4 linked regions of the Lepisosteus oculatus genome follow. The main gene of each other region encodes a partner of the protein of the gene in region 2 in a complex. Links are inferred from orthologs where the notes say so. Each region holds a gene or a part of one and is shown on either strand. Other genes may lie near its edges.

What was found.
Region 1: morf4l1 (region 2) and bromodomain-containing protein 8 share a complex: the UniProt entries of both Homo sapiens proteins name them as parts of the nuA4 histone acetyltransferase complex. The link is inferred for Lepisosteus oculatus from reciprocal best matches to the Homo sapiens genes MORF4L1 and BRD8.
Region 3: morf4l1 (region 2) and ing3 share a complex: the UniProt entries of both Homo sapiens proteins name them as parts of the nuA4 histone acetyltransferase complex. The link is inferred for Lepisosteus oculatus from reciprocal best matches to the Homo sapiens genes MORF4L1 and ING3.
Region 4: the proteins of morf4l1 (region 2) and sin3b are in contact, whole or in part, in a cryo-EM structure (PDB 8BPA), measured with the Homo sapiens proteins. The link is inferred for Lepisosteus oculatus from reciprocal best matches to the Homo sapiens genes MORF4L1 and SIN3B. Residues at the interface, in NP_996670.1 of Homo sapiens: Gln217, Gln219, Tyr222, Ser348, Tyr350, Glu351, Val352, Ala353, Pro354, Pro355, Tyr357, His358; in NP_056075.1 of Homo sapiens: Cys394, Arg396, Arg402, Ala403, Pro405, Lys406, Thr407, Tyr408, Ser462, Phe463, Pro464.

What each region holds. Positions count from the first base shown.
Region 1 is NC_090706.1:29,598,274-29,605,778, forward strand, and holds the start of bromodomain-containing protein 8, read left to right. Parts: upstream 1-4,495; 5' UTR 4,496-4,567; coding exon 4,568-4,586; intron 4,587-5,881; coding exon 5,882-5,978; intron 5,979-6,289; coding exon 6,290-6,359; intron 6,360-6,460; coding exon 6,461-6,510; intron 6,511-6,830; coding exon 6,831-6,953; intron 6,954-7,226; coding exon 7,227-7,307; intron 7,308-7,481; coding exon 7,482-7,505. Other genes in the region: kinesin-like protein KIF20A, read right to left, coding at 234-392. UniProt on the Homo sapiens protein: May act as a coactivator during transcriptional activation by hormone-activated nuclear receptors (NR). Isoform 2 stimulates transcriptional activation by AR/DHTR, ESR1/NR3A1, RXRA/NR2B1 and THRB/ERBA2.
Region 2 is NC_090700.1:48,886,024-48,893,403, reverse strand, and holds the start of morf4l1 (mortality factor 4-like protein 1), read left to right. Parts: upstream 1-4,369; 5' UTR 4,370-4,492; coding exon 4,493-4,532; intron 4,533-7,380. UniProt on the Homo sapiens protein: Component of the NuA4 histone acetyltransferase (HAT) complex which is involved in transcriptional activation of select genes principally by acetylation of nucleosomal histones H4 and H2A.
Region 3 is NC_090702.1:40,169,837-40,177,778, reverse strand, and holds the start of ing3 (inhibitor of growth protein 3), read left to right. Parts: upstream 1-4,941; 5' UTR 4,942-5,054; coding exon 5,055-5,082; intron 5,083-5,210; coding exon 5,211-5,282; intron 5,283-6,854; coding exon 6,855-6,955; intron 6,956-7,942. UniProt on the Homo sapiens protein: Component of the NuA4 histone acetyltransferase (HAT) complex which is involved in transcriptional activation of select genes principally by acetylation of nucleosomal histones H4 and H2A.
Region 4 is NC_090724.1:101,061-108,771, forward strand, and holds the start of sin3b (paired amphipathic helix protein Sin3b), read left to right. Parts: upstream 1-4,696; 5' UTR 4,697-4,973; coding exon 4,974-5,081; intron 5,082-5,119; exon of another isoform or gene 5,120-5,144; coding exon of another isoform or gene 5,145-5,153; intron 5,154-7,188; coding exon 7,189-7,295; intron 7,296-7,711.

The sequences.
Region 1 (7,505 bases), on a different chromosome or scaffold from region 2:
GTGAGTGTGCGAGAGAGCACGCCCAGGAGCAAGAGAGAGGGAGAGTTCACACGAGAGCAAGAGAGCGTGATGCGGGTGTGCGAGAGAGTGAGAGTTCACACTAGAGCAAGAGAGCGTGATGTGAGTGTGCGAGAGAGGGAGAGTTCACACGAGAGCAGGAGAGCTTGCACACGCTGCGAGGGGTTTGATATCCCAGCACGGCTCCGCCTGCGCTGCCCCGTCGCCTGTCTCACCGGCGTGGGGGCGTCCGCTCCAGGGGAGATGACTGACAGCTCGGCGAGGCGATGACCCCCTCTCTGCCCGCCGCCGGTCTCGGCCGCCGTCGACTCGAACACCGCAGCCTCCTCCTCGTCCGACAGCAGGCCGCGCGGTGAGGCCCCATACGTCGCCATGACAACCACTGCGAAAGCAGCAGACAGCCTCAGGTTAGAGGGGTGACACCCCACCATCTCCCAGACCCACTACACCTGCAGCCACTGCCCACTGAAGGGACGCACACCCACACCCACTCACACCCCCCTCGGTCCCTGAGCCCCCTACACCTGCAGCCACTGCCCACTGAACCGACACACACCCACACCCACTCACACCCCCCTCGGTCCCTGAGCCCCCTACACCTGCAGCCACTGCCCACTGAACGGACACACACTGGTCCATATACCCACAAACAGCAGGGAGACTGAAGCTTTTTTCAAATAAATGAAAATCAGCAGTATAACAACAGAGCAGACAGCCAGTGATGATTTTACAATAAAGCTAATCACTCCAGGCTTTACAGTGCTGTCAGTCACACTCCCAGTGCACAGCAGTACAAGTCTCACGCTAACAAGTTTCGCTCCAACAAATAGGAATAATAGCAAAGCATCAGTCCAGAAAAATAGCTCTAAACCACTGGCTCAAACTCCGAGCTTCTATTGTTTACTGGGTCCTGTTTGTGTTCTAGCAGTAGCACATAAGGAGGCGAGAGACCCGATTCTCCGTAGGCAATTAGCAGAACTCTTCCAAATAGTCGCTCAGGCACAGAAAGGGCAAAAAACGGAGGCAAGTCAATCTGATCTACGCTTCAGATCAATGTTAACACCTACTACAACTACACCAGACAATCGTCTCTGCGAGACTCTCAGAAAAGGTGGGTCTTGTTCAGCCGGGCAGAGCTACAACAGTAACAGACAGCATCCAGCATGGGATACATGGGGTCTCGGTAGAGGCATAATCCCACTGCTGGCAGCAGGTATTCATGGATGTGTTGGGATTGGGAACTGGTCAATGGGCAGGACACTCAGGATGGCGGATGTAATCAGTGGAGCACCACAGGGATCTGTACCGAGAACCCTGCTCTTCAGAACTCACAAGTATTTGCCCAGTCCCGAATGCTGTCTAAATCTTAAGAATCCTCCGAGTTCTCGAGTTTAATTCCTTGTTGTTACAGTCCGTCTATCAGCTTTTCAAAACCTTAGGAAAACTCCCGTGTCCAATTTAGGTTAATTAGGTTAATGAATGGACTACAGAGGGCGCAAGGCCCTGCAGGGGCCAAGTTAGAGGCTTGGGACAGTGTCACAGGGGTCAGGTGCAGGTAGGTGGTTAGAGAAGTCTGGAAGGAGCCAGCAGCCTGCAGGGCACAGGGCTGCCTCACTGAACACAGACCAGCTTCAGAGCTGCCTCCCTCTCTCTCAGCAGTGGAGGTAAATTCCACATGGGGCCAGTCCACTAAATTCCACAGGTAACTGCTAATCCCAGCGAGAGAGCTGGACAAGGGGGAAAAACAGAAACTCCAAGGGGACAAGCTCGTCCCACAAGGCTCTCCCACACCCCCTCTACACAAAGAGAGCCGTAGAACAAGCTGCCCAGCCAGTCAGGACAGGAGGCACGTCTGTACACAAAGAGTGGTGGGAGTGTGGTACAAGCTGTCCCGCTACGTTGTGGAAGCCGATACCCTGTTTTTTTTTTTTTACAAGAAACAGCTGATCACTGATCCCGGGATCAATTAGCTACTATCGATCAAAGCGGTCAGACGGGCCCTCCTCTCGCTTGTTAGCCCTGGTTCAGATCAAGTCTTAGAGCGCGGTGTGGAGTGAAAAACCGCATCGGACCCGGGACTCTCCGGGTCCAGGAATTAACAGCAGTGTTGGTATTGCGGTGCTGCAGTTTGTTCCTAATTTGCAAGCCTGTGCGTGAAGCTCACTTTCACGAGGATAAACAAGTCAGGCGAGCACGCCCCCCCACCCACCCCCGGAGAAAGGAAACCCGCACAGATACAGGGATAGTCTGTGGAGAACCCGGCCGTTTCAAACCAGTTCCGCGGGTGGACAACCCACTCAGACCGCGCACGACCCTCTCTCTGCGGACCAGCAGGCTGGGGCAATTTCAATGCCGAGAAGCGAAGAACATGCACACGGGGGGTCAGGCGCACGCGTCCTTTTAAAAAGGGTTTTTGCCCGCCTCGCAGTCTGATACTCTCGATTTTATTCTCTAACCTCTTCAATACAGGGCTTTCTTTTGTCAGTTCACAAAAGTCATGCAATAAAAACTGTAAGAACACAATATACCATCAAATTTAGAAATAAGAGGAACACTGGGGTGTTTATAGCAACTGTATCTTACCAGGTCGGAAGTCTGTTTACGGTAGAAAGAGCGCACGCAGTCGGGGGGTCCACAGATTAATTTACACGACCACACTGTCCGCAGTGATTTTAAGGTTTCGCTCTCTTGGTCTTTTTTTTTATTTACTGAAGTTTATTGGCGTGACCGACGAATTACTGTTGTAATACTTCATACAGTAACAGCAATCGGGTGTAGGACATTTATGTCTTCGAGCGGTGTGTCCTCAATCTGAAAATTACCCACATTCACTATCGAGAGAAAACACGCAACCTCATTTAGTTCAAAGACAAAACAAAACACTAACCTTCTTTAAATACAAACGCAGGTTTTTCCGTAAAGTTCTGACGTCTTCTGACTGAGTGTCCTCTCTAGAAGTTTAAATAGAGGCACATTAAAAGTCCTATAAACCCTTTCCTCTGTCGACTAAACTTAAATTAACAACCGCGCTGAACTAAGAACTCTGGGACCAGCGTTCAGCCCCTCAGCAAACCGATTCAAACGTCGCGCCCCGGAGGGACAGCCAATCACCTTCCGAGTGCCGCCCGCAGCCGCCCAATGGCAGCGCTCGGAATGCGAGGGCCGCCGCTCCAGCCAATCGGACGGCACGCTGAACCCTCGCCCAAGGCGCAGGCGGAGAAAGGGCGCGGCGGCGTGCCTCTGTGAAGGAGAAATAGAGTGCGACCAATGGAAACTGGCTCCATGTTGGCTCAAAAAAAGAAGCACCGTGGCGAGCTGAGCCAACATGGCGATCTACCGCAGCTGGTGGGTGCTCGTTTAAACCTTTAGTTGTTCCTTTGCATCGCTACAGAGTAGCCTCTAAGAGCTACGTATTCATGTTCACATCGGCTTTATTCCCACATGAGTAGATATTGTACTTATCTACTTGAATAAACCTGCTGTGTGAATTTAGTCGAGAGAAGCCAGCGTTTCTCGCCCCCTTACAGATATGTTATTCTTCCTGTGCTAATAGATTATCTAAACAGCATGCCATCTTTAGACAGCCGTGCAAATTCGTTTAGTGTGTGGGCAAGCACCTCTTTCCCTCGGGGACTGAACAATAAATGTGAACAGTATTCACTTCGGCGGTACTAAAGAAGCATTGATGTGAACCCACATCGATTTGATAAACATCTGGACCGCCTGTCCCACACAAACGGCGCATTGTTGGCAGCTGAGGAGCCGCAGGGCACAGCGGGTCACGTGGGTCGGCCGGTCGGGAGTTTGCACTTCCCAGCATCGCCGTCAGGAGTCGCTGTTGTCGCCCCCCCTCTGGGCCGCGTCTTGCCTTGATGGCGCTGATCTGCGGGCGAAGTCTGTCCCAGCCCGTTGTGTTAGGAAAGGCGCCTTTGATTGTGGGATACTAGGGGTTGCAAATAGACGCCTGTTTAAAAGTGTAAACTCAGATTAACATAGGCAGAGGTATCCAAATATAGGACACAACTTAGAAGTATGTAGTATTATAGAAACAAATATAGGTAGTAATGTAAAATATATAATCGTGTAGACACGCGAACACGGATGATACTGTAGAAAGTTGAATGCAGTTGATTTTGCAGAATTACAGTATATAACACCCCAGAAATGCAAATATAGGTGATACTGCAGTGCAGAAAAAGTCTTTGGAGGATGCGGGCATCGATCCCGCTACCTCTCGCATGCTAAGCGAGCGCTCTACCATTTGAGCTAATCCCCCTTTCTTATTGGGCCGGCCCTGAAGTCTGTATATAAACTAATGTAAACAGTACAGTTTACAGAAACAAAGACTTTAGAAAGTACAATATTCCCACCTTATTTGTATTTCTATAGATAAAGTGTATTTTCCATGAGCGATATATAAATTGGTCATACTGTACATGTCCCTCCAAAGCCAAAGACTTCATTTCCCAGGCAGCATCGGGGCTAGAAAAGCACTTTGACCTGGAAGTGCAAGTGCTCAGTGGCGGTGTGGGAGGGGCAAGGAGTCAAGATGGCGGGCGGCATAGGGAGTAGGTGTTGTTTATATTTTAATTGTGTCTTTGTACCTTTATCAGTGTTTTGGAGTTGTTTCTGTGTTTTTGTGTGTCTGTTCTGCGCGATGAACGGATGTTTCTCCTTACTCCTTATGTAAGGTTACCGTGACTTTCCCCAGAAATAAGTGGTATTCTGGTAACGGACGGTTTTTAACGTAACATTAGGAGTAACGTAACGCAGACACAAAGACTGTAGTTCAGGATTTGGCCCGGGGTGTACGAGAGCGTCTCAGTTTTCGGTCTGTGTGTCATACAGAGTCTGAACCTGAAAGAAAGTTAAGAGAAACCACGCTGGTAGCTGTACTAACGCTTGATAGGGGCTGGCTGTTACTTCCTACGACACCGCTAGGCGTGCGCGTATCTCTTGTTTATTACTGAACACTTCCCACGTTTTTAGTACCAGTTAGTACTAACTATCCATGATCGGTAGCCGGGTAAATATCCTTTAGAAATATTCTCGCCATGGCCGGTTGAGTATCTTTTAGACCAGTGGTCCCCAGTCCTGTAGAGAATATTCCTGGAGCCCGAACGCTTGCTGCCTTTTATTCCAGCCAGACCTCAGGTACACGATCCAACTCTTAACTGACTGAACCAGGTTTGACTCGGGCTGTTTGTTCTCAGCAGGCGGCATGGTGGCACAGTTGTTATCATTTCCTCAGCGTCAGTGACTCCTTTTGTGATTAAAGAGCCAGGTTTCAGTGTCTGGTACAGTGAGAGGGAGACTGTCATTTTGCTCACACATACAGTTTATCTGTTTTAATATGACCTTTCTCTCTCTCCCTCCTCTCCTATAATTTCTCTGCCCTGTCCCCTGTCTCCTCCTCTCCTGTCTTCTCTCTTCTCTGCCCCCTGTCCTTTCCCTCCTCTCCTGTCTCCTCTCTGCTCTGTCCCCTGTCCGCTCCCTCCTCTCCTGTTTACTCTCTGCCCTGTCCCCTGTCCTCTCCCTCCTCTCCTGTCTTCTCTCTGCCCTGTCCCCTGTCCTCTCCCTCCTCTCCTGTCTTCTCTCTGCCCTGTGCTCTCCCTCCTCTCCTGTCTTCTCTCTGCCCTGTGCTCTCCCTCCTCTCCTGTCTTCTCTCTGCCCTGTCCCCTGTCCTCTCCCTCCTCTCCTGTGTCCTCTCTGCCCTGTCCCCTGTCCTCTCCCTCCTCTCCTGTGTCCTCTCTGCTCTGTCCCCTGTCCTCTCCCTCCTCTCCTATCTTCTCTCTGCCCTGTCCCCTGTCCTCTCCTATCTTCTCTCTGCCCTGTCCCCTGTCTTCTCCCCGACTCTCTCCAGAGCACAAGCTGATGTCGCTGGGCCCCACAGAGCCCTGGTCTGTGAGGGAGAAGCTGTGTTTGGCCTCGTCTGTGATGAGGAGTGGAGACCAGAACTGGTAAGAGGGGCTCTTTCTTCCTGTCTCTCTGTCTGGCGCTCATGGCTGCCAGACAGTTTCCCTCCAGAACTGTCCCCTCTTGCTCCTCTCCCTTCTCTCTCCTTTGCCTGTGTCCCCGTCTCTCTCCTCTCATTCTCTCAATTTCCAGCTGTCCCCCCTCTCCTCTCCGTCCGTCTCCATGTCTCTCCTCATCCTCTCTCTCTCCCAGCCTATCAGATTCAAAGAGCTTCACTGGCGTGACCGATCAGCCGCAGTGTTCACAAGGCAGGTACAGTTAACTCCACAGTAACAGATACATCTCCCTCTGCCAGGGTGTCGGTCAGCAGAGCCATCAAGCCCTTTGCAGAAGCAGGCCGCCCTCCGGACTGGTTCTCTCAGAAGGTAGGAGACACAGTGATGCTCGTTCTCCTGCAGTGTTTCCTCGACCTCTTCAGCGCCGTGACGGTAGTGTGTTTTTCCTCCTTCCTGTCTGTCTCTCTCAGCACTGTGCCTCCCAGTACTCGGAGCTGCTGGAGACCACAGAGACGCCCAAGTGAGTGCAGCTCCCCATCCCTTGTTCTTGTGTTGTGTTGTGTCTCGGGTGTGAGCAGGTGGGGGTGGGGGAGAGAGAGTGCGGTGTTGTGTTGTCTGGTGTGTGAGAAGGGTGGGGTGAGGGAGAGAGAGTGTGTTGTTGTGTTGTGTCTCGGGTGTGAGCAGGGTGGGGTGAGGGAGAGAGAGTGCCTTGTTGTTGTGTTGTGTCTCGGGTGTGAGCAGGGTGGGGTGAGGGAGAGAGAGTGCGGTGTTGTGTTGTGTCTCGGGGGAGGTGGTGGGGAGACAGTGCAGGAGTGTTGTGTAATGTTGTGTCTCTCTCAGGCGGAAGAGGGGAGAGAAGGGTGAGGTGGTGGAGACTGTGGAGGACGTGATTGTGCGCAGACTGACAGCAGAGAGGATAGATGAGCTCAAGAGGCTGATCAAAGACACTCAGGAACTGCACAGGTACTATTTTGTCCTGTTACTCTATCCTGTGTCCTACAGTATTGTCCTGGTAATCTGAACTATTGTGTAATGTTACTCTACACTGTTTTCTACAGTATTGTCCTGGTAGCCTGAACTGTTGTGTAATATTACTCTACACTGTTTTCTACAGTATTGTCCTGGTAGCCTGTGCTGTTGTGTACTGTTACTCTAACCTGTGTCCCTGTATGCTGTGCTGTGTTGTGACCTGATGGTCCTCACTGTAGTCCACTCTTACTGCGTCTCTCCCTGCAGGAAGCTGAAGAAGGAGGCAGAACTAATCCAGGCTGGACATCTGGACAACAAGTTGGAGGAGCTGTGGGGGGAGATCGTCCTGTGAGTCTGTCCATCTCCCAGTGTCTGTGAAAGGCCGCCTGTCCTTCTGTGTACTTGCCTGGGTCTCGTTGCCTGTGCGTCTGGCTCAGGAGATGTCTGTGATTTGATTGTGGTTGTGGCGCGGTCGGCAGGCGGTGGCGGCGTCACTGATGCGGTTACTGTTCCCGCCTCCAGGAAGAAGAAACAGGACGAGGAAGA
Region 2 (7,380 bases):
CGACGTGGAAGACAATCGCAGCCTTTATTTTCCTGCAGACCGCGTCTGGTGACTGTGCCACTGCAGAATGGTGACATGAGACCTTTTGGCAGTTGCCAGAAACCATAAGATGTCAGTAAGAGGATGGTGTAATACACACAGAGTGAATTTATTGTGGCATTAAAACTTCTCACCTCTTATCAAAAGGGACTTCTTCAGGCTACCTTGCTCATTGGCCCGAGTTGTGGTGATGGATATTTGAATTGTCTAGTGACATAATGGTTTCACTGATCTCACAGCACAAACCCCGACTTGGAAACTATCAGGCGTAGCAGCGCTCTGCTCAGCGTTTCAGTTGAAACTTGGCATGACATCACGAATCCCGACTTCACAGTTCTTCCGCTTGTACCTCTCATGCCCCCTCTTTACTGGGATTATGAAACCCAGTTGGTGTGAATTTCAATAGGATCGTGCGCTACCAGTTTGATCACAGAATCGAGAAGGTACCTTTTCAGACAGACGCGCACCATTAATATGACAATTCTTTCAATAAAGAGCAAAAAGCTCTGTGAATGGGAGGTGGCATTTCTTATAATCTCATACCGGATTCATCACCTATTTTGATGGTTAACAACACTGGATTGTTTTCCGCAAGGATGATATCCTATACATATTTTCCCTTATCACACACCCGCACAATAAACAGAGCAGGAATCAAGACAGTCTACCTGAAGCGCATCGGATTAATCGGGAAACTAAATCGCGTGGTTCGTTTGTTTTAAACACTTATTTGAAAAACCACTAACCACTAGCCATCTGAAAGCACTCAAGTGGAATATACGCACTGCCCATACCTGTATTATGAGTTAATATTTACGAACAAAGGTGTCAGCTTTGAAAACGAACTTCTTAGCTGTACAACAGCAGCAAACTGAACCTGCTAAAAGTGAAGAAGGCTTTAATCCATCAATTAGATTGGATTGTTTGCGCATTCTCTGCACAAATACAAACAGGATGCCACTGCCTCACGCTGTCAAGAAGGCTCTTACGCTTGCGGGTACTGTCGTTGTTTTTTAACTAGATGTTATTAACGTTACTGTGCTGTTATAATTATCACCATCACCACCCCATCTGAAACTGAAAATGATCTCCGCCGGCGTAAGTACACTATCAAGACGGAAAAGACCCGAGGTTTTCAAGAAACTAGCATGCACACGCGCAATCGCGTCCCATTGTGACCACTATCGCGCTGTATTCTCCGTGTTCATCCATTTCTAATAGCGCGCATTGGAAGCAGTCAAGGAACGGCTCCGCTACTCATTGATTTAAGTGCGTTTGTCTCTTTGGACGCGCTTCTTCGCCTCGAAAGAAGAGAGATCTGTGCGTGACGCGCTTCAACAGCCATAAGCATAAATACCAGAATCACATTTAAAAACAAAAGTTTTCACAGTTACCTGTGTGATGCGAATACAAGCGTCAGTCAAGAAAAAGCAGCTGGCTGACAGCACTGACCCTACAGACACAAAGTAACTGGAGATCGAGCACAGCAGGACTTTTCGTGGGCACGAGAAGTTTGCAAACATACCTGTAAAAGCTCTGCACGAAATACCACCGTGGTTGAAAATAGCATCTCTTTACGCGCACGTGTCTTAATGCACATTTAACCCAGGATTTGGAAGTAATTTCCATGCAAGAACAGCAGAGGCGATTTCTTTCATAAATACGACTGTTTCTTGCGCTCACATCACTGCACATGTACATGCAGTATTTATGGGCACACAATACAGCAACCTTTCCCCTGCCGCTCGCAGCTCCCATTTGATAAATGTTATTCGGGTGCTGGCCTATTACACAGTTGCACTTTCATTTATTATGGTGTTGTGCGGCTTTGAATATAAATCAAATCAACAGAAAAAAAAACATGAATTAAAATGTTCAATGTCTCTGTAAAACAAGAGCCAGTATGCATTCTGGAAAGATTGCTGGTTTCCGCTATTTGCACAGTTACTTTTAGAAATTTGTTGTCGCCTTCAAAGTAATTCCTCCGTTCTAACCTGTGGAGACCCTAGGGGAGTAATAATTTTGCAGTTTACGTGATATACATTCGAGAAAAGCCAAGTGATTTAAACCTGCATACAAAAATAGACAGGTTCCCAATTGGTTAGCCTCTTTTTTTTTTTTAAAGAGATGGAATAAGAATGCTGTAGGCCTCCGTCACAAGGTATAGCAGTTATTTTCTAAAATATCCTGCATGAATAAGTCATTCTTCATCGTTTTCGCAGTTTTAGGTGACTGAGGTTAGAGGTCAGCCTTAGGAACCACTTATATAGGGATCTGAAGTCACCAGGTACAGCCAATCCCGTGATTTCCCTGTGAGAATCCGAAGAATTTAGCTTCCTGAATTCAATGACTCCGCCCCTTGATGACTCACCCGTTCTTCCAACCGCTACTTTGCTACACAGTTCTTTAGCAAGTGGTGGTGATGGTTGGATTCGCACAGCGGTGCACACAGTCAGTTCCAGCACTCCTTTGCTGCGGAGAAAGCCCACTCGGCTACGTTGCGCTTCATTCTGCCTCTGACGTTTGCCAGGATCCTCACTCCCAACTTTGTGTTGTGCTGGATGACAGTGTTCCTCACATTCCACAGTCCTAGTATTGTGAGGGACACTCACTGCCACGGCACACTGGTAGCTTAGCACTGTTCCTACTCCCAGGAGTCGTACAGTGTTTTCCATTCTTCCATGCACCACTTTGGTGAAGGGGCAAATCCAGAACATGTGCTCCGTTGTCTCCTGATAAAACACGTGTCCTAGGGGCAGTGTGTGTTCCTGGTCATCAAGTGTCTGCCAAGGTCCTCTCTGGTCACCAGCCTCGGCTGCACAGCCTTCCATTTGAGGTCCTCCAGCTTGTTTTCCAGTTCTTTGAGTTGAGTCCACTCCCAGGTCTCATTTGGGGTTAGCAATTGTGAACCAGTTCCCCCCTCTGCTCCTTGTATAGGGCTCAGTGGTGCAGAGCTCTGGCCATGTCATGGTCTCGTATCTTTGGTTCCTCTTGACAGCGTGGGTGTGGATTCCTGGTTGCTTTTCTGCTTTTGGCCCCGTGTTTGACCACAGGAGCAGGTGCCTCATCAGGAGGGAGAACCACAGCCTGACTAAGTACTAGTAGTTGTGGCTGATCAGGTCCCATAGTGTCACGATCGTGACCCCCTCCTCTTAAGGACACTCCAGCCCTTCCTTGTTCAGAACTCATCCCCTGCACCTGCCTCCGGTTCCTGCCCCTCGTCCTATAAAAGCCGGGCGCTCACTGTCTTCCGGGCTCTGCACTGGTTTCTGTACCAGGCGAGTCTGGGACCTGGAAGTGCCTGGTCCCGTCAAGCTTTTAAGTTCCTGTTCCTGCCGGTTCCTGTTTTTATTCTGTTTGTCTTGGATGGACCGTCCGGTTTTGGATTTTCGCCTTCTCTTGGATTCCCTCTTGGACGTCTTTCTGGATTGTTTGCCTCGGCCACACCTTCCCCAAACACCAGCGTTCCATGAACACGCCCCCTGTTTTCATTCCCGACTCCCGCAAGCTTTTTCCCCATGTTTTCCTCACTCTACCCCGGATCATGTCGTCTGCATAGGGTCCTAAAAGAACGCTTCCGTTACACATAGTACCAAAAAGAGGCTGCAGGCACACCATGGCAGGGTAACTAAAGCCACAGGATGTCAGATTTCGGCATCACCTTCCAAGTGAGGGTCAGTGACCATGTTTTCCACAGACACAGCTTTGATTTCACCCTGGCAATCCACTCTGTCCATTCACATGGTTATCTAATACGGGTTGTTCTGTGTGTATTAGAGGATGCAATGCAGTCCATTCCAGCATAGGGAGCGAATTACCCGTTTTCAAAATCTATATTTAAAGATCATGCAGAGTGACAACATTGACACTTCACTTTATTTTCCTGAGGTTGTGATTAAAAGTAGGCTATGACCATTTGTTATTTAATCAACGCTATCGGATAATTGTCTTTCTATCAAAGAAAACAAATTACTCTCATTCAGAAGACTTAAAAGGCAAACGCGTCTTGCAAAGCAAAATATATAAAAAAATCTATTCAATCTAGCATTTGTGACAGCACGTGGATTTCTACGTATCTGACAGGATTCTTTGTCTCTTTGTAAATGTAGTTAACCGATCTAGAAAGGGGCATATTTTCGTTAGTAAATAGCAGTTACTGTTTGGAAGATTTAATATTAACACATGTTCCAGATGGACGAACAAGGAAAAGCTATGCAGTGTCTTGATAATAAGGATGCCCAGCTAGTGTAGCTGTTTTTTTTTTCCAAATAGACATCCGAAGGGCGGAACCTAGCGCTAATAGAAAACGAGTCACACGGTCATTTGACGCAGCGCGCAATTCCTGTGCGTCGCTCTAGTGACGCAGAGCGGCGCCTTCACTGTGTCGGGGTGAATTCAGAGCTGGCGATGCTTAAATTTGATTTTTCAGTTATTTTAATAGTTTAATCTGTGAATGGCGCCAAAACAGGACCCTAAGCCTAAATTTCAAGAAGGTAAGGAACGATTTAATCAGTAAAATTTTGGAGTGGAAGCAGGCCTGCGTTTCGCCCTGTGTGTGACTGAGGGGTAGGGCGGCGATTTGCAGTCACTCCACGGTGTTTGTGTAGATAGCAGAACTGAAAAACGCGCTTAAGTAAAGATTAAAACCTTGTTCAAAAAGGAATAAAACTACGAAGGGCCAGGGCGGATTTTTGTTTTTAGCAATTTAGCTAGCGAAATGTTCACTTTCCCAGATTTATTGGGTGCATTTTTCTAAAGGCCTAACATCTATGAGCTAGCTAGTCTTTTTCAAGTAGAGTGATCTATTGTCTTCGTTGAAGAAAAAATAGGCTATAAAATATCTTCTTTTTGTTTGTGTCTGTAATTAGTAATGTAAGGAGAACAATGAGTTTTTCAGCTAAAACTTAAAAGATTTAATTTTGGACTTTGAGTCTTGATTGTCACCGTGTGTTTGAGCGTATTCTTCGTCGAACCCTGCTTGAGAACCATATTTCTTGTCCCTTAAAACAGTCGAATATAATCGATGCTTCTCGTCGTATCTGAAATAAGTTCCGACCTTTACATTAATATCTGTTAGTAATGCTAATTTATGAGCAAATCAGCTTTTCATATATACTTTTCTTAACTTAGGTTTGATAACGTTGCTCTGATAATTCGTCCTTCTTTGGCTAAGGTAATTATTTTAATTTTTTTCTTGATATTTCAGCAAACAATGTTTTACATTTTTTTGCCATGAAGTAAAAAGTTGTAATGTGGAAAAGTCGCGCTTTTTCTTCACATAACGTTTGTATACAGAAATATCACATTGTGCCAGCACGGTGTAACTAAATATAGTTATGTAGCGACTACTTACCTCTTCGAAGCTGTAGCGAGAGAAAGAGAGATGCAGCTTCTTTTGTTGATCTTAACCTGCATGCGATATTCTGACAATTTAAAGGTTCACACCAAGGTATTTCTTCAGAAGCCTCAGTGAGTCGTAGGCCTTCCTGACATGTACCACAGCAAGAGTTTACCAATGGGCACTTAAATCCTTGATTAAAAACAGTACAATAACCCAGATTTGCATTCAAGTCTTGTGGCTTGCCAAAACGTGCCACTTGCGTAGCCCAAAAATCTAGGGTCGGCTCTTTCTTTCTGTTCGATTTGAAACTAAGTGACCTAATACTTTTAAAAGGGGTCCCAGTAAGCGGTTAACCCTCCAGTTTTTTGCGTCTGTGTGAAGAGATCTAGTGTTCTGTGATAGTCTTGCGAACTAAAGTTAACATCAATCAACTTGCAACTAGGAAGCAACAACTGTCTGCTAGATATTAGCAGTGCTTTGTAAACCTTGGTGAGTCTCTGGTACTTAATCACTCTTATAAACATGAAGATACACTAAGGTGTATCTTGTTTTCTTAGCAGTACATTATTTAAACTTGGGAACCATAATAATTAATAATAATAATTGCTTACACTTATATAGCGCTTTTCTGGACACTCCACTCAAAGCGCTTTAGAGGTAATGGGGACTCCCCTCCACCACCACCAATGTGCAGCCCCACCTGGATGATGCGACGGCAGCCATAGAGCACTAGTACACTCAGTAAGGCTTATCCGCATAAGGCTTGCATCAGTTTCCCTATCCTAGTCCAAATGGAAAACTCTCTTGTGGTTTGTGCTCTGAGTTCTTAATCACAGAACAGTTAATTTATTTTCTGTCTGGGGGCCATTTTTAAATTTGCTTTCAGATTTTAAACGGTCAAATGGAATTTGTAATTGGTGTCAGACCTGTAGTAATGTCTGAAACTCCCTAATTTTCTTGTTTCCTGGAATGTAACCAATCAGATCTCTAGAAAAAGGGGGAAAAAAGCTCTTAGTGGGAGAGTTTAAGTCAGTGTCATATTTGCTTGTCAGTTCATTATAAATGACTTATTAGGTGTTCAGAGAAAAACAAGTGTAAGCAATGCAGGAGAGGCTCTTTGTGCTGACGTTATTGAAAACAGTATGCTGTATTTAAAGTAGTGTATGTTTTAAACTCATACCGAAGGCAGAAACAAATTAACGAAGTCGTAAGCAATCAAATCAACTAAAGGTAAGAGCATAAGTACAATTACAAATGACACCAGGTCAATCGAACCATCTAGCCTGAATAGAAACATGGTGGGAACTGCTGGCTAAATGCAATGTGAGTAACCCAAGAAAGAAATTAAATCCAACTAGAAATACTGTGTAAAAATAAGAAGGCTGCATGATGTTTTAAGACTTAGGTATATTTGTATTGGGTACATTTACTTGAAATATAGTTCTGAATATAGTGTGTGCGTAGCCCATATGGTTAATATTTGTCTTAAGAAATGTACAGGCAGTGTGTCTGTATGTTAGCAGCATAATGATTAGGGTTTTTGTCTCCTGAGTGGAGGGTTATGAGTTCAAATCCAGGGTGGGACTGGTTTTGTACTCTTGAGCAGGTACTTCACTGATAATGCTCCACTAAATGTCCAGCTGTATAGATAAGTCGCCAGGTTTCCACTGGAAGTGAGAATGTTGTGCATGTAATTAGCTGGTGAACTAAAGGAACGAATTATGGTGAAAGGAATGTCTGAGAAGTGCCTGCATGTAGAGGTTTCAATTATGCAGTCTTTCCATCTTGAAGCAGATTACAGTTCACTGTAAGCTATATTTAAATGTGTATGGATGTTTTACAAGTATGTAGTACTGCATCTATACATATATGGAAATTAGACTTTTCTAAACAGACACTCGGATTTAAAAGAACACCAGCCTCATTGATGTCGGCAAGTTTGGTTTCAGTTTGCCGTATATGAAGACGGTATAGAAATTAGACAAGTCAGGGGCCACGGC
Region 3 (7,942 bases), on a different chromosome or scaffold from region 2:
TGCCCCCTTCACATTACATATTTCAAAATATATGCATTCTAAAATGCTTGCAGACAAAAACAGACCTAAATTCCTCAGATTACCTATACATTCAACATCACATGGATGAGTGAAGCAAAACAAAGAACAAAATATACTACAATGTCCTTAAAATGAATGCAAAGTTTACATATATTACAAATTCTTTAATTTCTTTTTACAATCAAGATTTTCATTTTCACAAGAGCCATGAGGCTGCTTTATCACATACAGAAGAACTAATTAATTAGCAATGAGCTTGTCAGGAGCATTTTTCTGTCCAACTGATATAAATACTAGCTCCTCCTAAAAAAAAAGTTAATTTTCCCGAGTGAATAACAATGGAGTTTCATGCATCACAGGCCACTGTTTCATAAGAGAGCTGTATGCAGCTACACCATATGTTACATTAGATCGCACACCTCAAAACAATTAAAATTGTGTATACACTGTACAGTAGATATCTGTCACGCCTTCTGGCTGATCCTACTCTGTCATGTCCCTAGTTTCCTGTGCTTTGCTGTCCTTCCGGTATCTCTCTCTCTCTGGGGCTATATATTTCCGGGTCACTCATTCACCTTCGCTCAGCATTGACATTCAGATGTCCTGAGACCCACCTACAGCACCAGGTCACCCCACGTCCACTGCCTGAGGGCATAGGTTTCTATACGACTCCTGAACTGCTAATCCCCTGTTCCGCCGCTAAGCATAAGGGTCTTTTTCCGCTCTCCTGCCTCTCCACAGTTCGTTCCTTACGACATCCGTGACAATATCAGCTTATAGAAATACACATTTGAAGAAGGCCACTCAAATTGAGTGTCATGTTTTTGTGCCCTTGATAAAATAAAGAAAACATTTTAATCACCAGCAAGAAGGGGGTGGTATGCCAATTTACCTTTATATACTCTCCTGTAGTGATTAGCCAGTTTAATGAGGTATTTATGTAGCATCTTTTATCCCAAAGAATCAGAGTGCTTTACACACAGGAGGGAAATCTAATTATCCACCAATGGGTGATGATGGCAGTCATTATGGATCAGCAGAGAAAGTGGAGAATAATAATAAATCCTTACACTTCTATACAGTTTTTCTGGACACTCCACTCAAACAACTTTACAGGTAATGGGGACTCCTCTCCACCACCACCAATGTGCAGCATCCACCTGGATGATGCGACGGCAGCCGTAGTGCTCCAGTACACTCACCACACACCAGCTATTAGTGGGGAGGAGAGCAGAATGATGAAGCCAGTTCATAAATGAGAATTATAAGGAGGCCATGATTGGTAAAGGCCAGGGGGAAATTTAATGATAAATGTCTTGGGGAGAAATAGAAAAAGTTGTAAAAGAACAATTTAACTTTCTAAAACTTTTTTTTTAATCTGTAACAAAAATAATATGGAGAAGTGCCCTTAAGGCTGAGACTGTTATTTTTTAATGCATTAAATGCTTAAAAATGTGGTAATTTTTCTACATGAGCAAAGAAGCACCTGAGAACAGATGCCTGTTTTTCCCTGTCACCATCTGAAACTCAGAGCTTTTGGCAATCATGTAGGATACTTTCAGAAGGTCTTCTCGAACTGACCTTCTTCATGAAAAAAAATCTTAATTTTTTATTAAGGTACCTATTCTTTTGGAATAGGAACAGGCATGAATAATGTTAACACAATTCTGTATTTTTTGTCAGTTTTATTAATTTAATTTCCTTTTTAGTGTAACAGAAGAAGTCATGTCAAAAACAGTTTCCCAACTCTACATGCTTATGAAACACTTGAATGGTGGTTTAAAAAGTTACATCTTGGGCCAAGTACAAAAACAGAGTAAGAGTTAGCACAGGGACCTGAAAGTATGTAACTCGGGGTTTTCCTCCGGACAAAAGTAAAATGATCAGGTGTGGCTGAGGGGTCCAGAAAAACAAAGTTCACACAGAATGAAGTTGATTTCGCTGCTTAAGTATTCTTCCGCGAAAACATGTTTCTTATTTTTTCCTTGTTAGGAGACTGTGTTAGAAGGGCTGTAGCATGTATATTGGCGGGGAGGCTTGAAGTCATAATATAACCCTTGATATAATATCTATAGTATCTGTAACTAATAAAATTGTACAACATTGGGTTGTGGGGGTTCCACGCTTTGCCACCAGAGGGCAGAAGACCGCATGAAATTTCTAGTTAAAAGCACAAAATACTAAATCCTGAAAGACTATTTTTACAGCCTTTAGTTTTTAAACTGACACATTCGGTTCAGAGAAATAATTGTTAAGAGAAAGAAATTAAGTTGTGCTACACTATGTATTGTTTTAGCATTACTGTCACAAACCAAAATATTTTACAGGAATGTTTCGGTTGTTTCGGTTTTCTCGGATATGAGCAAATTATCGTGTTTCTTCTTTCTACTGTTCATTTAGAAATTAACCTTTACTTCTTCCTTTGAGCTTAACGCACACTGACTGTTCCCCCTTCGAACATATGCATGATAACAATACAGATATTCCCCCTAGTTTTCCCTTCTAGCGGCGGCAGTATAGGAAGAGATGCAGGAGAAGGTAACTGCACCTCAGTGATTTAATTTCGCCTTCTGACCGACGAAGGCGTGCTAATCACTGAGAGGAGGTTTAGGAAGCAGGGCATGGAGAGGAGTAACGGCTGCCGCTGCTTATTTTGGAGTAAGGCGAAAGAGGGAGAGAGGGAGAGAGGGGGGCGTTTTTGTAAAGGCAGGGAGAGGGGAAAGGAGGACTCAAGGTCAGGGTTCAGTGGCTCCTAGACACAGCGATAGCAGGGTGTTACACTGCCCCCTACCCAGCTCCCTCGCACCTGGTAAAGTGTGTGGGGGCGGGCTGGGTGCTGGGATATTGCAGCTGTGGACCGGGCCCAGACGATTGGGAAAACGGTAGAAGGCGAGGCGTCTCCTCCTGCGATAGGGCTTTGGGCTGAAGGCAACGGTGCACCTCTCTTGGCGGCTGGAAAGGTTGTTCCTCAAGGCCGCTTGCCACAGCTCTGCGGATACCCCTCGGCCCAGATGGATAGCGTTCTCTGGGCCCGCTGTCATCTCAGGGTCGTCTGGGCTGCAGGCAGTGGGCCGCTGTAGGCTGACACGACTGCTTTTAAAGAAGCGCAGCGCATCGTAAGGCTCTGCTTCCTGTCTTTTCACAGCACTGTACTCCTGGAGCTCGTCCGCCCACCGGGCAGCTTGTCCCTCTGGGTCACTGAAGGACGTAAACCGGCGCAGCGCAGGTTGCTCAGTGCGGATGGTGAACGGGAGACCACACAGGTGGTGCCTGAAGGGCTCCACCACGTCAGTAACACGATAGTGGCGTTTTGCTTTGGTATGGCTCCGTTCACTCCAAATAAATGCTCATGATTTTCTTCAAACGCAATTCATGAACCAAACATTGTGTTATACGAAGGCTGATGAAGGACTATGCCAGTGAAACAAATCATGTTCGTTAAATCCGTTGTTATAAAACGGATTAAATGAAACACATTTGAGGAAGACGAGTACAGATGTCTGTACTATCAAACAATCGACAGGACATTGGTTAAATATAATAGTATATTTTTGGAAATAGTTATTCGAAGGTAATACTAAATGTTTTTTTCCCCCAAAATAATGATACTGATTTAGTTGTTAACGTGGAAGTTCTTTCTCTAAAGTGCCATGTTACCTTATCAATATAACACCTGGACAAATTGCAAAAGTTTTTCAAACATGGAACTTGAAAGCATGCATTCAAAGACTTCAGCGTGGTAAGTATCTTTAATTTTGTATATTTAAAGAGCCCAATTCACATTAAACTCTTGGGAGCACTTACAAATGATAGGAGGCTATACGATATATCTAGTCTATTTGGTAGTTAGGTGTGAACTAAGCTCTGCCTTTTCTTAAAAGAAGTCAGGGTATCAGCTTCAACATGACTGTGTAGCTACAACCCTTTGGGTAAAGAAGCACCCACTCGTCTTGGTTTTAAACATATTTCCATGTAGTGTATCCACTTGTGTCCTCTAGTTTGTGTTTCACTGTTAATTCTGAAGTTCACTGCTTTGACTTTGCCAGTGCCTTTGAGGCTTTTGGATACTTCAATCAGGTTGCCTTATAGTCTATTGTTCAAGATTAAAAAAAAAAGTTAATCTCACTTAGCCGAGGTCTATTTGAAGTAAAATAAGTACAAAAATTAGAAAGAAGTCTCTACCCATTACCCACAGCCACATTTGGAAGCTGTGCTGGTCAGTGCAGAATGTGTACCGGTATGTGTTGAAATTGCTGTGTCACATCATACTGTCCACAAACATGTATACATTAATGACAGTAGTAAAGTCTGGATAAATGTCTGTTTTGCTGTTTAAATATATTTGCTATTTTCCTATTTACTCTCATTCCAAAATATTTAAATCCTGATTATTTCGAGGGGAAGCTGTGAGTGGTAACTGTAATCTCAGCTTCTTTTCTTATCTACCAGTTAAATGACCATCCATTTTCAATAGCCACTTATTCCAGCAAACATATTTGAGGTGAGCTGAAACCTAGCCCAGCCACCAATGGGCTTAAGACATGCAAACATACACATACTAGCATGTCTTTGGAGAGGGGTATCATCCAAACTCCACATAGAAATATACCCTTAAAGTACATCTGTTTATGATTGTAGGTAGATATCTGTTCTAAATGATTAAGGACCACTGCTGTATATAATAAATGTGCGTTTGTGTTTAATAACAAATATGTGTTAAACCAATCAAATATCATTAACATACAAAATTTGACTTGCCCTTTATCTGAGTGGTTCGGTTTCTGAAGCTCTGGCCTGTCATAAAACAACTGAGGTTAGACTACATCCCCCATGATGCTTTGGCATTAAACCATCAGTTTGCGTCATTTTCTCACACGCCCAATCAGATGTGCAGTCATGGGATGCGTCACATAGAATGACCTCCGGCGGGGAGACGTGATTTTTTTTTTTCCTTGAGCTGCTGGTGAAGACGGCGCCATATTGAAAGGCTAAAATTCTTTTACTAAAAGCCTAAAACATACGTTTGAGCCAAAATGCTGTACTTAGAGGACTACCTGGAAAGTGAGTATGGTATTTTGTAAGCGAATTTCGTGTTGGTTAAGGATCATTTAACGTGCGGGATGTGCAGGTGTTGTGTCGTGTAGCTCCCAGACGGCTAGCTAATTTTTTTTTATTCTTCTCTTTGGCAGTGATCGAGCAGCTTCCCATGGATCTGCGCGACAGGTTTACGGAAATGAGAGAAATGGACCTCCAAGTTCAGAGTACGCATTCGCTACAACGTGACCAAGTCAAATACTTGCCTAGCTAATTCATGGCCGTTTTCTCATTTCGGAGTGCTTATTTTTGGTATAGATGGGGCTGTATATTGATCTTTGATCAGATTAGATACAAGACTACGAATATTTACATTTTCCTGAAGATTTCACAGCTTTATTAGCTTAAAATGCACTATTCTGTCTACATCAATCTGCATTGTTTACTTCATTTATCCAGGCAGTGCTCCGTTTATCGGTCACTCATGATGGTAACACTTTCTATTTTGTAATCCGCACACTGTGTTTAAGCATCTTAAAGTGTATTTCAGTGCTGTTGTCCAACAATAGTGCTTCAGACCTGCTTAGAAGATCGTCGTAGCAGAAGCAGATGAAATCTTGCCAAGGAGTTGGAGGAGGAACGTTTCAGCCTGAACAGAATAGAATGAAGGGGCAGAGGGCACATATCTGGGTTGTTACAGGAAACCCTTCACCAGTGCCGTTACCAAGACTTATATAGGCTTTTATTTGTTTCATTGTCCGGGTGATTCCAAATGCCGTTGTTAGTTTTGGCTTGGTAACATGATGGGGAAGTGAAAGACGAGATGAATTTCAAGAGCCGTGTGTGCGGCCTACCGTGAGAAATGGGATGGACCGTTATCGGAAGTCTTTACCGTTTTACATTTTGGTGATGAGAGAGGAGTGAACGAGTGAAGTCCCTAATGCAGCCACACGTGTGACATTAAATATGTCTTAACAGAATATTGTATTGCAAAGGTATCTTGGATTATATGTAAATTACAGTGGAGCTACTTTCTATTAACTATTCTTATTCCTCCTAATATCTAAAATATATATAAAAAATCATTGCCTCAGAATTGTTGCAAATTTGTCACTCACTCCTTGTGTATATGTACTGTATGCCTTTACAGTTTATATGTCTGCCATCTCCCCAAAATAATCCCTTCAACTGTAGACATCCCTGTGCAGATGAACCGTATGAAATCAACCAGCTTTTTAAAGTATTGCCTAAAGAGATTTTCAGACACAGAAGAGTCCTTAGCAGATTGGCTTTATTGTGCAGACAGACTTACAGTATGCAGTCTACAAGGCATTTACAATGTAATTTTTTTTATTTTTTCAGAGATAAGAGATTACTGTTATTAGAAGTGGAGTAAACGCTCAATCATTGCACCAAGCTAGAGAGCAGGCATTTTGTGTTGAGTTTGAAATTTAATTTGTAAAACCATTATAGCCATTTAAAGAAACCTGTACTTGCATTGTGTTCATAGATATATTTTTGCCTTAAATGGAAATTGCTGCTCTTTTGATATGTACTTTTATACACTGACCATTTTCAGTACTCTGGACTCTTGAGTGTGAGTCATGTTTTCTAATGTTTACAGACATTTCAGTTATGGAATTAAAATTCAAATGCATGTTGTGAACAGTATTTAGCTTTAAAGTAAATAAGACCTACAAAATAAGGTCTAGCAAATCTGTTACATATGTTGTTGGAAAGGCTCTCAACCTGTCTTTTTATCCTCCTAATCTGAGGGATTCATTTGTTTTTTGTTGTAGATGCCATGGATCAGCTGGAACAGAGGGTGAATGAATTTTTTATCAATGCAAAGAAGAACAAGCCAGAATGGAGGGAGGAACAAATGGAAGCAATAAAAAAAGTGAGATTAATCGTACACTGCTTTTTTTGTAACTGCATTCAGCATTTCAAGCATTTGATTTGAACTCTTAAGTGTTTTCAAGTTTTTCAATTCTAGATAAATAAAATGTTTTGGCTTCCATTTTTTGCTTTTATATGATCATCAATTTAGTCATTTGCTCCTTTTGCCCAGACAGCCCAGGAGTCTTAAGAACAAACTATTCCATGCTTTGCCAAATTATTTTTAATCCAGCCGAAATTTTCTAACCTGTCCGTTATCAGGATCAGGATCAGGATCTTTTATAAGATCAGTCTTAAAACAATAATATGGACATTTTACATGTTTTTTTATTCAGAATTAATCCTAACTACTGTGTCTACATGATGCATTGTGTACTCTCATCACTGACACATCGTTTCCCAGGTTGACCCTTCTGGTATAAGGCTGAACACAGAGCATAGGTCACTTCCAGCACCACTTTCTTCTACTGCTCTGAAAAACATATTTTGAGCTCTTTACACCAGATTATGCATTGCTGTGTATTGGCCTTGGTTACTAGCTGTTTCCAAATGGCAACATTGTGAATCTCTCGCCACAGTTTTTGTTTAGACTGGGTCACAGAGGTGTAGATTCAGTTCTGTGGTCATTTTTGAGGCCATCATATTGTAGTGGTTAGCAAGTGTCTTTGACTTGCAGCCTCTGTTCCTCTTTCCTGATGCTGTTTTCTCTTGTTTGGTGTATGCTGCCATGCTTTTCCAAACTATTCCCCTTGACATACTAAGTAGTGTAGCTGTTTCTATGCTCCTACAGTTTGGGTACCAACTACTTGACCTCTTTCATTGCTGTTAGATCTCTAAAGTTGCTTTAGTACCTCACATATTAGAAGTGTTGATTTTAAAATGTCCTAACAGCAGAAATATATTGGTAACTAGTACTGAAATTAATATGAAGCTTTTGTAGAATCATTTTTAATTGTGATTTAGTTGCTTAAAAATAGGTTACAGCCAT
Region 4 (7,711 bases), on a different chromosome or scaffold from region 2:
GCTCAATGTCTGCTGCTGAATCTGTGAGGAGTTTGTATGTTCTCACAAGTTTGTATAGGTTTCCTCCCAAAGTCCAAAGTCATGCTGGTACATTAGCTGGCTTCTCTAAAGATTGGCCCAGGTATGAGTGTGTGGATGTTTGTGTCTGTGTGTGCCCTGCGATTATCTGGTGACCCATCCAGGGTGTATCCCGCCTTGCACCCAATGCTTTCCAGGAATGGTTCCAGGCCACCATGACCCTATTGGATAGAGATGACAATGATGCATTGTTTCAATTAAGACCTCATTTAAGTAAGGAGCTCCACTGAAATGAAAACCAGTAAGTGTATTAGTCCCCAGTACCAAGACTGGGAACCCCTGTTCCAGTTCACACTTAACTGTTCTCTTCATATAAAATATCAATGTACAACATTCTTTTAAGTCAGGGATGTGAAATTATGATCCTGGACAGGTGTTTAGGGCTCTTTAAAGTAGCAACACTTGAAAATCTAGAATAGGCTTTTACATAGATCAGATTTAGTCAACAATGATTTAATTGGGGTCATTTAGAGCTGAAATCAAATGAAAACATGTGAACCCACACACCATACATCCTTAGTTTAAGCTCCAATAATTCATTTGGTTACTCTTGTCTGGACTAATTTAAGAGCGGCAATACTACTTTCATGACATGACCAAAATTGTACACAATATTCTAAATGTAGTTGTGCTAGTGCATTGTACACTACAGTACCTCCCTTTTTTACTTTTAACACTTTTACTATATGATTTCCTTTCTGAAAGCTTTGCATGGTATGTGTTAGCACTACACCAAAATGCTTCTGTGCAACAGGAAGACACTGATGTCTGTGAATTTTTTTTCTCTCATTTTCTTGATTTGATTCCATTCAAACTTTTATTCATTCCAAAGAGGCAATGTAAGCAGCAGGCAGTGCAAATACAACACATTCCAAATAAAACTGCTAAAGAACATATTTCTGTTATAATTTGTTTCTTTACCGTGAGTTTATGTTTAACCCCTAAACAGTTGTAATTTTAATGAGCACTTTTTACATTTCCTTTTTTTAGCTGTAATACGAATCTGAGCAGTAGTCAGTTTACTTCAAATTCAAACAGGTAAATTACAGTGTTGTTAAAGCATATACAGGACAGTCAATACAACATCTACAGATGTTACAAAAAATTAGAAAGCCTTTCTCCCTATTCAAAAAATCCACCAAGCATGAAAGGCCTTTTTTAACCAAGGTATTCTTCACTCAGGAAATCCAAATTCCTTAATACAGAATAGCAAGCTCTCTTTAGCAAGGTTCAAATACTTAGCTTCAATCGAGTCTTTTCAGATTATCTCAAATAAAGGAACTGTTTGACAGGAGCTCAGATGGCTGAGACTTTAAGTCCTCTCCTCCTGTCTTCTCCCTTGTGGTCTTTTCTTTTCTGTTATTCTTTTCACTGTCTTGATCTGATCTTATTTGGTGTCTTTCTGGACTGTCGATTGACAATCGAGAATTTAATTAACTAAAACCAGAAGATTCTTTTGATCAGTGTTTCTCACACCCAGAACAACCAAGTAAAAATCCCTTAGTTTGAAGCTCTAGTAAATTGGAATATTGACACTAGTTATTACCCATTGTGTCAAGATTCTTAGAGAGACCTCCATTGTAATCTACCACAGCCAGTAGCAATTCAAATACTGTACATCATAGGAGATTTACATACAACATATAACACTTAGAACATTACAGGGAAACAGGCTCACTGCTCCTCAGGCTGTGACAGGAGATCACCTACTGTGCTACGAGCTCAGTTGAGTTCCCTCATCCCTCTCCAAATAGGATTGGGAGCTGTTCTGATTCAGGCAGGTGTGAGAATTCTGAGATTTATTTTGGGGAACAATGTTTGTCTAATCCCAGAATATTTCTCCCAGTCCAGTAGGATGTGCATGTCTGCCTCTGTTTCTCCCTGCTGGCAGTGGAAGCACAGCCTGTCCTCTCTGGGCAGCCAGGTCTGCCTGTCACCCAGTTTCTATGGCCAGATTGTGGTCATTGAGCCTGTACTTTGTCAGGGTCTTTTTATCTTTGCTGTTTCTAACCCTGTTCAAAAATTCGGCTAGTGAGTTTTGTCTGTTTGGTAATATAACACATCATTGGCCTCTTCACACTGAGTATGCAATGACATATTGTCTACTGTACATGTTCACTAATTATTGTGATTAATGTACGCTCATTGTGGAACAAACTGGATGAACTGCAACTCAATTATCAACAAGGGTAAAGGAATCTGTTGTAGCTTTTACAGAGATGTGGCTAAAAAACCAAGTCTCTAACCAGGACTTGTTTATTGATGGTTTTGAATCTCTAATCCACCTTGATATAAATAAAGACAGTACCAGTGAGGAGAGAAGGGAATGGTGTTTGTCTGTACATTAATTAGAAGTGGTGTAAAACTGCAGTAGTGCAAGAGGAGCTCTGCGTATCAGATCAAGAGGTTTTGGTTGTTGCTCTTCACCCAAACTACTTACCTTGTGAATTCCTGCAACATTTTTGTGTTAGTGTATATCCATCCTTGCGTCAATGCAGAAAAGGCAGCTGAATATATTGTCAGTGTTAATAATAAATTCTGTCTCTGCCGATGCCCCTAATTTTATTTTAAGTAATTTTATTCATTAATTTATTCATTTTATTCACTTACTTGCTAATTGAAAAGCTTCATCCAGCTCTTTAGGTACATACTATTTTATATAAACACAAATTTTGTGGCGACCTAAACCAACAGATACTGGTCCTCAAAGACCAGTATTGGACACATTTGCTATATTCTTATCAAAGCTTTTCTAACCTTTTTGTCCTCTGGCCTCAACAAAGGTGTTTGATTCTGACACCATATAATTTACCAGCAGTCCCTCATTAATCAAACTTCTAGCATGGCTTTACACGTGTTATGTATGAGATGTATAGTCCCATAACACCTGGAAGGTGATACAAAAGGCTTGATTTTATTCCCCAATTTAACAATCCAGGTATGTGGCCACTGTACTTCAGACAAACCTACTCTACTTGCCATCATTGTCCTCAAATCTATCCACCCATGTGCCTTTTTTTCCAGGAAGTTTTCTTTGGGTGAGCAAAATTATAACCTTGGCGACAAGAAAATTTGGCAGTTAAGCCTGTCCTTGATGAATAGAGACACTTGATGGATGGGCAACTCAACATTTCATGGTTTTACTTTGCCTACACAGAAGGAGCCAAACGACTTAACAGACACAGGTGGTTTATCTAGTGTGCCATCATGCTACAGAGCCAAGATAATCCCAACTAGACAACTTCACCCTCTGTCTGTTCCTATCTGTCCTTGGTCCCTGATCTCTGCCACTTTTATCACAGCTTTCAGTGCTAGTTTTCTTTTTGCTTTCCAATTGGCTACAAACCCTGTCTGATTCCTGACTATTACTTGGATTGCACTTTACCTATAACTACCTGCGTGATTGTTGCTTGCTCTGCCTTGCACCTGAGTTCACTGCACTGCCGTGTTATACTAAGAGTCACTGGTAACTGTCACACACATTACCATTTTTAAATGTGTTCCAAGGCTTTTTTAACATTTGAAAAATATTTGATTTCTTCAAACCTTTTTTTTCTAAATACTGTTTCAACAAACTATAAAACCAGTCTGGTCAGGCACTCACATTTGAAGAAATATTTATTTAGACACCTTTATCTTGTCTGTCTAACCAGTCTATTTATCTTATCTAGTATGTGAAGTGTGAAGTGGCAGGAAATAACAAAAATCAAAGGATATCACAAAAATGTCAAAACTCACTGCAATTTCAAGTGGCTTGTAATTTATCTAACTCTGCATATTAACCTTCATTTCTGTCTCAGACCATCAATATCTGTGTGTATGTACTCTTTGTAAGCATGTCAGTGTAAATGTATACTAAATGTATACATCTCCCATGTATCAGTGCCACTGTGTATCATCTCCTCTTTAGGTTTCTCATGTCACTGAACTGAGTGGCGATTAGAACATTCACAAGCTGTAAAATAATCCACACAGACAAATTTCATACCATGTACCATGTACTAATACTTGTAGTATATGAGTGTACTACCAGTGCAGAGAACCTTTGAGAACAGCCATATTCGCACATAACCAAGTACATCCATCTATGTCTGTAGATCTGAGTATCATTGGCATACAAATGATGATTTAGATGACGCAATCTTTATAGCTTACCAAGTAGTAATATATAGATGAGAGTTACTCAGTCCAGAACACACAAAGAACAAACCAGAACAGAACAGTACACAAAAAGGCATGTGTGAAAGTACCAGAACAATAAACTTAGATTGTTGGCTTTATAATTCATGTTAATCTCATCAACTCAAGAGCAAATTGCTGAAACTTAAAGCAAAAATGAGTTTTGACTTTGCTGTCCCAATATGTTTTAAAGGCTGTTTATAAGTGAAGGTGTGTGCTGTACGTAACTAAAAGTGGATAAAATTGGGTTACAAAAAATATGGAATTTATGCAAGCAATTACTCCTCTTTGCTTATACCGTCCAGGGAGCGGGGGATCGTAATATTTTTTTTACAGTACATATGACGCCAACGTCTCAGCTGACAAGTTCCAGAGGAAAGTGGCAAAACTTCACACATGCGCAGAAAGCGCCGAGCGCGGGAATGCTTTTGCTCTGCGCAGGCGCGCTGGGTCTTTTTTTCTGTTTCCGGACGCCAAGTCTGCACCCCGCCGCCGAATTTAAAGAGACAGAATTATTTTTTTATTATCCCCTTTTAGCTTTGGGGCGATTCTCTGAGTATTCGTTGTCTTACTCTTCGATGTTTCAGTCGATTTTAAACGTGAGTTGTATATCTGTCAGTGTGTACTAACAATGGCGTTTTAAATAGCTGGGACCCTCCGCCCCCCTCCTTCTCCTCACTCGCAGGCCAAGATATTTTCTGAGGAATTAGGGGACAATGGCGAAAATTCGAGCTCATAACAACATGCCGCAAATCAAACACATCCAGGACAAGGCCTATGTAGTGCAGAAACAAGTCCAGCAACAACACTTTCAGAAACTGAAGGTAAGAAAAACAGAAAATGTCTTCTTGCTGTTTGTTCAGCGATGTGGTCAGCCTGCGAGATGCATGATTCGGGTGAGCAAACGCAGCTGAGCGAGATCTTTCCCAGAAGATAACTAATATAACTAGCAATAGTGAGATGTGTAGTGGATTATTAAAAACTAGTCAAAAATCAAACGGAGCCGTTTTTTTAACTGTATTTTCGTTTCTTCTACAATTCTTTTTACGGTACTTTCTTTGTTAAATGGATCCTACAGAGCTGTGTGTCTTTTCCCCCATATATTCATTCCTACGGGCTGACGAGACAAAAGGTGCTTCTGTTTAAATGAAATGCAATGGAGATCTTATACACAGTGCAGATTTGGTTATAGTAACTGATGCAGATTGCTCACTAGGCTTTGCTGTCGACCTGGAGAGGGTTTGTGAGCACACTTCAAAACGGTCACGTTTCTTCGCCACTGTGCATCACTTTATGTACATTGGTTGTAATTGTTTTTTTTTAATCAATTGCACTGAAGTTTAAAACTTTGGAAGGAAAATTATGTAAAGGAAATGCTCGGGTTGAAAAATTTGCCAAGCTTTTCTGTAACTGTGTTTTTGTCACATTTTGTTCTACTGTATTGTCTCGATAACTCTGGGATACAAACCATTAGGGTAATAACACTCACTTCTGCTAAGAGGTATCTTCTTCAAGTCTTTTTCAGGTTTATACTGCGATTTTCTTTTCTGATCTTTGTTGTAATGGAGAAAATATAATCCCACAGTAATAGCCAGTATAGCATGCTCTCTCTTTTTTAATTCTTAAATAAAAAGAAAAAGGTTACTAATACGCTCTAGAGACAATTACCGCATTGACGTGTATTTTAAAGGAAGGATGTTCAGGGATATCTAGGCATTAAAAAACAATTTAGAATTGAGAATGACCTGTGTTGAAGCAATGCTGTTATTTCAAATCAGATCCCGATGGTTTTCATTTGCTCTTGCATTTATCGTCAGACGTTCAGAGAACTGACTGGTCTGGATTATAGGATCTCTTGCACTGACAAAAAAGGGCCAACGTGGGCTAGGGTTTTAGCCCAGATGGAAAAAAAAAAAACTTTTCACTTTGTATTTTACAATTGCATATTATTCGCCTTATGTTATTTTCCAGTTTGCCCATAAAAGGTATATCTTTGATCAGATAAAAAGGTGATGTGTTAAATGCCATCAACTTGAGCAGTTTCACGTGAATTCCATCAATATAGGTCATTCTCAATTCTAATGGTCTAGTGGCTATCCTATCGCATAGTATTGGAGACTGGTAAAAAAAAAAAAAGAGTGTTTTTTGACCCAGTGCTGTGCCAGGCTTGAAGGATCAATAAGCAGAATTGCTAGTCATGATGAGAAGAGCAACTGTGCAGCCAGTGAGCCTACAGCTTCTGCAACAATGGGACATGGCCACCAAATCTGTTATTTTCACAAACATTTTCCTGCACTTCCAACATTTTTTAATTGAGTTATGAAGTGATTCGCTCCATCATTATGTTTTATTGCAAGGACTGATGACATTGGTGTACTGTGTGCAGGGGGATATGTTTCTATTCAGATTTTAGTAGGAGCTGATAGGAAGATGAGCACTTAATTTTGTTCTTAAAAACATTTCTGAAGGATTTGACATAAGGTTAAATCATGTTGTAAATGTATAATTAAAATAATCTTTTTATCTTTTTGTAAAATTAGATTAGTGTAAAATAAACTATTTTGACAAATGATTAAATGTGAACTTAAACATTTCTGTATTGCCTGAATGCAGGATGTTTACAATATTTAGTTTTTTGCTGCTTCTGTCAGCATTTTCTATGCTTATTGTTAAAAGGGTAATGGTTAAATTGTTATTACCTTGTGTATAATAATTATTGTGTTAGTTTCCACATTTCTGTATCTCATGACATATTTTAAAACAGTTTTTCTAAATTGTTCATTTAAAAACAAATCTAAATATTTGTTTTGAAAACTACTGTCATCAGCATTAACTGGAAGTGGTGTCAGAAAGTTTAAGTAATTTAACCTAATGGGTCTTTTGGGGGGAAAAAAATGAAAGTTGAAATGAGATTTTGCTTTCTAATTTTAGGTTGAAGATGCCTTATCATATCTGGACCAAGTTAAAATTCGGTTTGGTAATGATCCTGGGATATACAACAAATTTCTGGATATAATGAAAGAATTCAAATCACAAAGGTAAGCAAGTAATGTTTTTTGATTCCATCATTGCTATAGCAGTATATGATCTTTAGATCAATTTGATCAAAATTCTCTTTATTGGTCAGGCCCCAGGTAGGAGGCACTGTAGACTTGGCTGCTTAGTTAATTGAATATTTCCGCTGTTTAATTTGGCAAAAAAACCCATCATGCTCAGGAAAAGCAAGTGCCAGTTAGTTCACCTGAGCTTGTGTACTTTGTACATTTTCCCTTATTGTGTGGAAGATAAAAATATTCAAAGCTATTATAAGAAAAATCGTCTGGCAATCTGTGGCATGATGGGTCACCTGTTTGATTCATAGACTGGTTAAAAGAGTTATATTAAAGCATTCACATAACGTTTGACGTGAAGTTCTTGAATGAGCAGTAGACAAAGTGGTTTAAGCACCTTGCTC